2 linked regions of the Alligator mississippiensis genome follow. The protein of the gene in region 1 purifies or fractionates together with the protein of each later gene. This does not show direct contact. Links are inferred from orthologs where the notes say so. Each region holds a gene or a part of one and is shown in the gene's direction. Other genes may lie near its edges.

Region 1 (3,911 bases):
ACTGTGTACCCCGGTGCCCCCACCACCTCCAACACAGAGGAAAATAAGAAGTCTGGAATGAACCTTTATATGTACTTGTTTGATATTCAAAATGAACAATAAAACAATAAAAACATTTTTAATTGGTTTTCACACTTTTCATTAACCCTAACACAACTATACTGCAAAAACTCTAATAGGATTTACTATATTACATGTACAATTAAAAGACAGTCCTCATGAACATTACAAAATAAAACTTTGCTTTTTGTGCTTTCGGTTTCTGTGATTCAGAACGGCGTTCCTGTTGTTTTGTTCTGGATTTCATTTTGGCACCCTGGATGACCACCTAGTTTGCCTCACGGCTGGCCTGGCCCTGCTCCCAGTGATGGCAAAGGCAACCCACCTGGTCTTCCCAGGTGGGGGCACCTGTGCCGCAGGGCTCCTTCCCGCAGCCACATCAGATACTCAGAGGTTTGGAGCGGATGGAGAAGGCGGAGATGCTGCTGGGTTTTTTTAAAGGACTTACATGCATCCTCATCCAGCGCTTCTCAACCCTGTGAGACGCCTGTGGTGCCAAGGCCCAGCCCAGCCCCGCAGCCACGTGTCAGCCGCCCCTGCCTAGGCAGGGCAGGGCAGGGCCCGCATCCAGGCGCCTTTTGATCCCTTAGGTGCCGGCTCCTCGTGAGAGCCGAGGCACCCCCATGACTGGCGCATCCTCTGAAAAGCCCGGCTCTTGGGGGGGTCGGACTGCGGAGAAACAATAGAGGCGCTGCCCCGCGGCAGGGCCCGGCCCGGCAGCTCCGCGGGGCTGCGGATTCCTGTCGGAAACCCCTGGCTCGAGCCGCGAGCGCTGCGGCAGCCCGGGGGCGAGGGCGGCTCCCCGGCCCCCGCGCCCGGCAAACCCCGCGGGGCCCCGCAGCTCACGGCGGCGCGGGCAGGCGGCCGCTGGGGAGCCCCGGGCTGCCACCGGCCCCGCCCGCCTGCCAGCCCCGCCCCGTCCCACCCGGCCCCGCCCGCGCCCGCCGGCAGCGACGGGGTTAAGCGCCGGGCTGCGGCGGCGGCGGCGGCGGCTGCCACTCGGCTCCGCGCCGGGGCCGTTACAGCGGGAAGATGGCGACGGAGGGAGCGAGCGCCGAGCCCGGCTCTGGCGGCCAGGAGGACGCGGAAGCAGCGGTAACCGAGGCCGGGGCCGGGGCCGGGGCCGGGCAGGGGGGACGCGGGGCTGAGCTGGGGGCTTCGCCCGCCCCATTGTTCTGTGCGGGCGGGGGGGGTGAGTGCGGGCCCCGCGGCTGCCCCGCACGACGCTGCCGGCCCGGGGCCGCTTCTCGTGCTGCTGCTCCTGCCCCGCGCCCCGGCACCTCAGGCGAGCCGGGACTTCCCTCGCTGCAGGGAGCCCCCTGCCCGCTTGCATTTATTTTCTTGTGACGGGCTCCCGTCAGCTCTGAGGGGGCAGTGGTTGTTTTTTTTACAAAAACACATCCACGTCCAGGCAGGTTTGCACAGACGTCCCTTCAGTCGTGCAGCCCTGAATCCTCTCCCGGCAAGCGAATGTAGGCGAGGATGTACCTGGCCATATTTTTTCCCTGTCTAAACTAACAAAAATCTTGGGGGCAAAAATAAAATAAAATAATTTAGGGATATGCTCTGGGAATTTTTTTTGCTCTAGGGATACACGGGTTTAGGTGGATGGAATCAAAAGGTTGGGAATGCGAGGACGGCTGTGTCGAGGTACTCGGAGTATATTTTCCAGAATAGGGAGCAAAACTAAAGCCAGTTAGTTAGGCCCATAAATGAGCCTAACTTCAGGCAACCTTTTCTTTAAGAACCAGGGCTTTGCATCCTGCCGACTTGCCAAAGATCCCTCCAGTATTTCAACCCCTTGTCCTTATTCTTCCTTTTTAGTATTCCTTTAATAATAATAATAATAATAACTGTTACAGATTTGGGGTTCTTTCTCCCTCTGAAAGAATGAAAAGAGACTATTGCTTATTTTAAAAGGAATCAATGCAGTTTTATGATGCATGGAAAAACCAGCCATTGGATTGTTTTGGGGCTATTGCCAGGCACCAGCTTAATTTATAGCCTAAAGCTCAGTGAAATTTCCAGTGGAGGATTTTAAAATTCAAGTGGACGCTTCTTAGTTGTTGGGATTGTTAACGGCTAGAGGGTGCAACGAACACTGTCTTGGACATAGAGTCAGTTGATACACAGTTGTCTTCTGCTACAATATTAAGTCAACAGTTTGGTCTAACAGTGGTATTGTCAGGGCATGATGATAAATGCTGTTTTCCTGGCATCTTAGTACAGCATCAGTAATACTTCGGGGGGGGATCTTTTGGCTGTTGCTTGGCTGCTCCTGAAAATGTAATGAAATAGGACTTTCACAAATGGTCTTGCTATTTACTGTCGCTAAGGAATTTATAACTGAAAAAGAGTAGAATATTCTTTCGTGTGCTGTACTTGGGAGGAAGCCAACATTCTTGTCATTCTGAGCTTTCTTGGTTCAAGTACAGCAGTTATGCCAAAAAAGAGAGATCCCACCAAAAAAACTTGGTATACTGTGTTACCATGGTAATAATGATAGGAGAAACTGGAGGAGACTAGCTCTGATGCCGCTGTCGCACCTGTGCAGCCCTTCCTGATTTGTACCAAAGCCAGTGGAATTTCATCAGCATGAGGCCAGTGTAATTTGCGGTAGGTTGGGGTGGGGAATGGGAAGTACTGTGCATTGACCTCCACCTGCATGATATCAACTAACAATGATTATATAATAGCAAGAAATGATCCAACATGTCAGTCTCTTTGTTGATATATGGGGGCAGCAGCCTGTGATGCAAAGAAAGCTGCGTTGACAGATGTGGTAGCCTAGGAGAGTATATAAAGAGGATGCTGTAAAAAGCTCCACTCTTTCTAACTGCTTTGTCTATGGTAAAATTAATTAGTGAAGGACTGCTCTGTTGTGTTTGTTTGTTTTTTTTTTGTTCAATGTGTATCTGATATCTGGAAATGGTAGCCAGCATTTTGTATCTTTTGAATTGCTTTTTGAAACTGTGCAAAAGATATCTAAGACTTAGTCTTGGTCTCTGAAGTCAGTGGGAATTTTGCCTTTGACAGCACTGAAACCATGATTTCACCCAGGGATGGGCAACAAATGGCCATGAGCCAGATCTGGTCAGTGGAGCCACTGGATCTTGTCCACAAAGTCTTAGAGCTTTGCCTATGCCTGCATCTGTGTGCTGAAGCTAAGCAAGGAAGAACTGCATGGGGGCTGGGCAACTTTCAGCTGCAGCCTGCCACTACTTCTCCTCTTCCCTCACCACCCCCATCCCATCTGAATGGCTTAAGCATCCCTCCTGCTCAGCGTATTCTTAAGCATCTATCTCTCCCTGTGCATTGTACTGGGCAATGCATGCTAACTTTGGCATGTGAAATCTATTTTGGGCACTGGTGCCTGAAATTGAGGAATGACAACATTCAGAACCACCAGTCCTAAGTCCCTTTGTAAATTTGTTCAGTGCTTCGAAACTGATACCAAAATCTCCTCCTTGGTTTCTGCCTAAAGCCTAACCCACCATAGTGGCAGGTGCTATCCTCTAAGGATATGCCTCTATTAGTGCTATATTACAAAAAAATAGTGTTTTAATGTTAATCTTTGCATTGTTACTGAATTTATTGATGGGAGGGTTGGAACTTAGATGGTTTTATAAAGTTTTTGGGCCACAATTTATAAGGAAGGTAAAGGTATGAAAAAACTACCACTAAAAGGGTTAAGGACAATAAAAAGGCATTCTTTAAATGTGTTGGGAACGAACTAAAACTAAGTGATTTTATGTGTTTGCTACTGGAGAAGAATGTTAACACTTAGTTACCAAGAGGAAGAAGTATATTTAAATATACACTTTTAAATAGGCAGGGATGTATAACTTGCA
Region 2 (3,911 bases), on another chromosome or scaffold:
ATGGTTCTGTTCCCTCTCTCAGGAATGCCCTGGGTTTCCTTCTTTAAGGGGTCTTGGGTAACAGCCCACCCTGTGAAAATGTTTGCAGGGTTTTAAAAGCCCAGGGCTCCAGGTTAGTCACCTGGAACGTAGAAAGCCAGTCCCCTGTTGAGCACAGAACAAGTCCCTTTAGTGAAACGAACATAAAGCTAGAAACACTCTTGTCAGTGAGTTGAAGAGGTCAGTTGTTAGTTCGTGACTAAATACACAGAAGAGAACAGGTCTGATGAGGAAGAAGACATCCATCCTTAAGCGACTGGGGTTTTTTCAGAGTGGAAAAGCATACTTCAGTCTGTTTTGCCAGCAGGCTCCCCTCCTTATCATCACCTGCTGGGTGCGGAAACAATTCTTTTGTTTTCCCCACTGATCTCCCAAAAAATGTTGAGTCCTGTAGGGTTGTTGGTTGCAGCCGTGTTGATCTAAGGACGCAGGCAGACAAGGGTCTTTGGGTAGATGTGATATCTTTTATTAGACCAACTAAATAACGAGGAAAATGTGTTCTTTGCAAGAAGGGTGTTTGTGCCCAAAAGCTTGCAAGGTGCTCCCAGGGGTGTAGGTTGTAGCCGTGTTGGTCTAAGGACACAGGTAGACAAGGATCTTCGGGTAAATCTGATATCTTTTATTAGATCAACTCAAAAAAAGCGCAAAGCGTTCCTATGCACTTAAGTAATCATGGGCTTGATAGGCAGATGAGTGATGTTTGTTGCAGTATAAGTGCTAGGCAACAGATCAGGACCAGTCTCCTGTTATGCAGTTGAGAGGAGGAGGATGTGTTTATCTGATAGGCATGTAAAAGGATTATATTGTATGCAGGAGTCTCCTCATCTCTTTATGGCCTGTGTGGGGTCACTGAAGAGGTAACAGATTTCTCAGCCATGTTCTCCCGGTTGAAATCTCATGTCCCTCCTTTAAGGAACCGTTGCCTTCCTGAGCAGTGCCGTCCACGCTCCGCCAGCACAGAAACGGCTTTCTCAGCCTGTTTTCAACAGGTAGGGATAGCCCGGATTTGCCAGGCAGCCCTTGGAGTTCTGCCCATACTTTTTGTGAGCGCCGTTGCCATGATACAGAACGTAGAGCAGATGTTTATTTCAACAGAGATGTCTTTAATTCCTTCTCAACGTTTTTCTCAGGCTGCCATCGTGTGCGAATACTTCTCTGTAGGAGCCAACTGCAGCCCGGGCCCAAGAGCAGAGCCTGATTCAGAAGGAAACGGAGGGTTGGAGGTGTGTAGAGGAGAGGTCAAGACAGACAGCCAAGCCTGCTGGAAGTTTCTGAGCGCCCACGTTTGGTAGGGATGGTAAGGAGCTGAGGGAGCCTCGACCAAAATGTTTTCTGGAAAACTAGCGGCATTATAGCGGTTAATGAAAAGCAATCCCCCTTCCACTCTACTTGGGCTTCAATTTTTTTTTTCTTCCCTTCCTTCCCCCCTCCTATACCTTTCTTTCCTTAACGCAAATAATCCAGCCCTTTTCTGTGTGGTCCATTACCTGGAAGTAACCCTGTGTAACAGGCTGTGATAGGCCAGAAATGCCTTAATTGTACTGACAGCAATAGAGACAGGATGCTAAAAATGTAGGGGTAGGCGTTGCACTTTCCTCCGCCCTTCGTGGGGTACTTACTCCTGTCAGGGACTGTCAAGAGCTCTCATTCCTAGGTGCATGGTTTCCCTTTGTCTTTGTTCCCTTTCTTTTCTCTCCTTAGTGCTCCTAGTTTTCTCCCTGCTTTCTTCTTCCTTCTCTTCTCTCATTTTTCATCTCTATTTTTAACTGCTGCTGCCTCCCTCCGGGCTCATCTGCCCTTTTTTCCCCTCTAGGCTCTTATCTGCCTTGTCTTCTTCCTGCAGGAGTGGATCAGCGTTCCTACCCGCTGGATCGCAGGCAGACAACCATCTCTCGGAGAAAAGCACTGTTACACTGCTGCTCTGCTTCTGCATGTGGGTATGGGTTGGTATGTGGGAGAAATCCCACTTGGAAGTGGTGCCTTCCTGGAATGGGTGCTTTTTTAGCATAGGAATTCTGCTTCGAGCCAGCTTCCTGTTGCTGCTGCCTTATATAGAAATGTTTTATCATTCTATAAATACAGTATGTGTTTTATTAAAAAAGAAGACAGAAATGGATATGCAGGAACAAAATGCTGGAGGAATAACGGTGAGTGGCAGGGCCTCTCGCAGACTTCCTCCACCCCTTCCACTGCTGTGGTCAAGCTATTTTTGTATTCCACGAAAGAGCGCTCTGCTGAAACTTCAGGTTCCTTCTTAAAAGGAAATTGGAAGAGGGGAAGGGTCTGTTTTAAAACTAGAAAATAAAGTTGTAAGCAGGAATGAGACTATAACAATTTTAAGCTGAGAACCTCAAATCTCTAGATTTCCCATCTCTAAATTCCCATTGGATTGCATAGTACAGGTTTGGGCCTAAATTAACTAAGATTCCCAGTGAAGGATATCCTGTAAATACTGCCTTCAGTTTACAGCTGGGCATGCAATAGCTCAGAAAGGATAAGTGAATTGGCCAAGGCCATACAACAAATTAGTGGGAGAGCCAGGCACAGAAACCTGGAGCCCTGGCTTCCAATACTGTGTGTAACATCCTGTGTGCACAACCACTGCAGAAGGGAACTTAATGCAAAAAAGAAGAAAAAGACTTCTTGCGAAAAAAAAAAAAGGCCCTTGTTAATTTGGTAGCTCTTTTATTAAACCTCTACTGCATGTCACAAAAATGTTGGGATCTATCAGCTATGTTGTTAATGTAGTTTGGCACGGATTATACCGTGGACATGGGTGTCAGGAAAGGGCAATTCTGCATGCCTATGCTGAGAAACCCCATTTTGTTGTTGTGGCGCAACCTATCCATTTGTTTCCTGAAGTTTGAAGCTGAATCCTTGATGTCCTGCACTATTTGTTTGATTCGAGTTAAACTGCAATTCAAAGAAAGACGTTAGTGCATATCTACAACCAGCCTACTGAAATCATCTAGCATTAATTAAGCTTTTGTTAATGTGCTGTACCCAGAGTGGGTGTGTATTGTTGTTCCAGTCACACTCAGAGCATTCCCTCCCTACCAAGGCTGTTCAGAACATGAGACACAGATATTAATAAGATGCCTTTGGGCAGTGGCTTTATCTAGTTTCTGACCTTTTTGTAATGAATTTAATCTACAGAAGATTAGCTTAAGACAGATACTGTATTAAAATACATAATTCATGGCAGTACGGATACTCTTGTGATGAAGGTGAATAGTACTGGGTAAGTATACCATTGAACTTCTGGTCTGGTAATTCTCTTTGTCACAGGTTTAGTCACCGTACTGAATCACCCCAGTCTTTTCCCTCTCCACCTTCTTTATCTGTAATATAGCATGCCTGAATAAGGTCAATACACAGCTTTTTTCCTGCTAAAAAGACAGTCGTTTGTGACAAAGAAAACCTCTCAGGAAAAGAAAACTGAGAATTTGGCACAAGCTTATTTGCTGGAGCGGGTATAAATGCCTGTTTGTTTTATTATAGGCAGAGCTACCTAAAGCAACTTGACATCTCTTGTTTTAAACCCTGTTTTCAGTTGCCTATATCTTTGCCAAATTTGAAGCATTTGGGTTGAAATTATCCATTGTGGGTATCTGCCTCGAGCTGATATATATTTTTTATTTATTTAAGTTTCAGCTAAAATGGCTCAGCTGTTGCTCAGAGCGAGGCTGGGAGAAAAAAAAAAGAAGTTGTATTGCAATTGTTAGAAAACCACATCTTTTATAGGCATTCTATTGAGAAACTCTTACCCTTCACCTTCCCCTCCCTGGCTATGGTTTGGAGCAGGGATGTGAAATTTAGGAGACATCTCCCTGGTGTCAGAAGCATGCCTTTTGCTGTCTTTATGAAACCTG

What was found.
Region 2: the proteins of CTTNBP2 (region 1) and STK26 purify together in Homo sapiens (affinity purification with mass spectrometry; 4 studies listed by BioGRID and IntAct, with this or other methods). This does not show direct contact. The link is inferred for Alligator mississippiensis from reciprocal best matches to the Homo sapiens genes CTTNBP2 and STK26.

The regions. Positions count from the first base shown.
Region 1 is NC_081827.1:48,423,805-48,427,715, forward strand, and holds the start of CTTNBP2 (cortactin-binding protein 2), read left to right. Parts: upstream 1-984; 5' UTR 985-1,092; coding exon 1,093-1,155; intron 1,156-3,911. UniProt on the Homo sapiens protein: Regulates the dendritic spine distribution of CTTN/cortactin in hippocampal neurons, and thus controls dendritic spinogenesis and dendritic spine maintenance.
Region 2 is NC_081831.1:81,457,704-81,461,614, reverse strand, and holds the start of STK26 (serine/threonine-protein kinase 26), read left to right. Parts: upstream 1-1,318; 5' UTR 1,319-1,333; coding exon 1,334-1,336; exon of another isoform or gene 1,337-1,882; coding exon 1,883-1,972; exon of another isoform or gene 1,973-2,952; intron 2,953-3,911. UniProt on the Homo sapiens protein: Serine/threonine-protein kinase that acts as a mediator of cell growth. Modulates apoptosis. In association with STK24 negatively regulates Golgi reorientation in polarized cell migration upon RHO activation.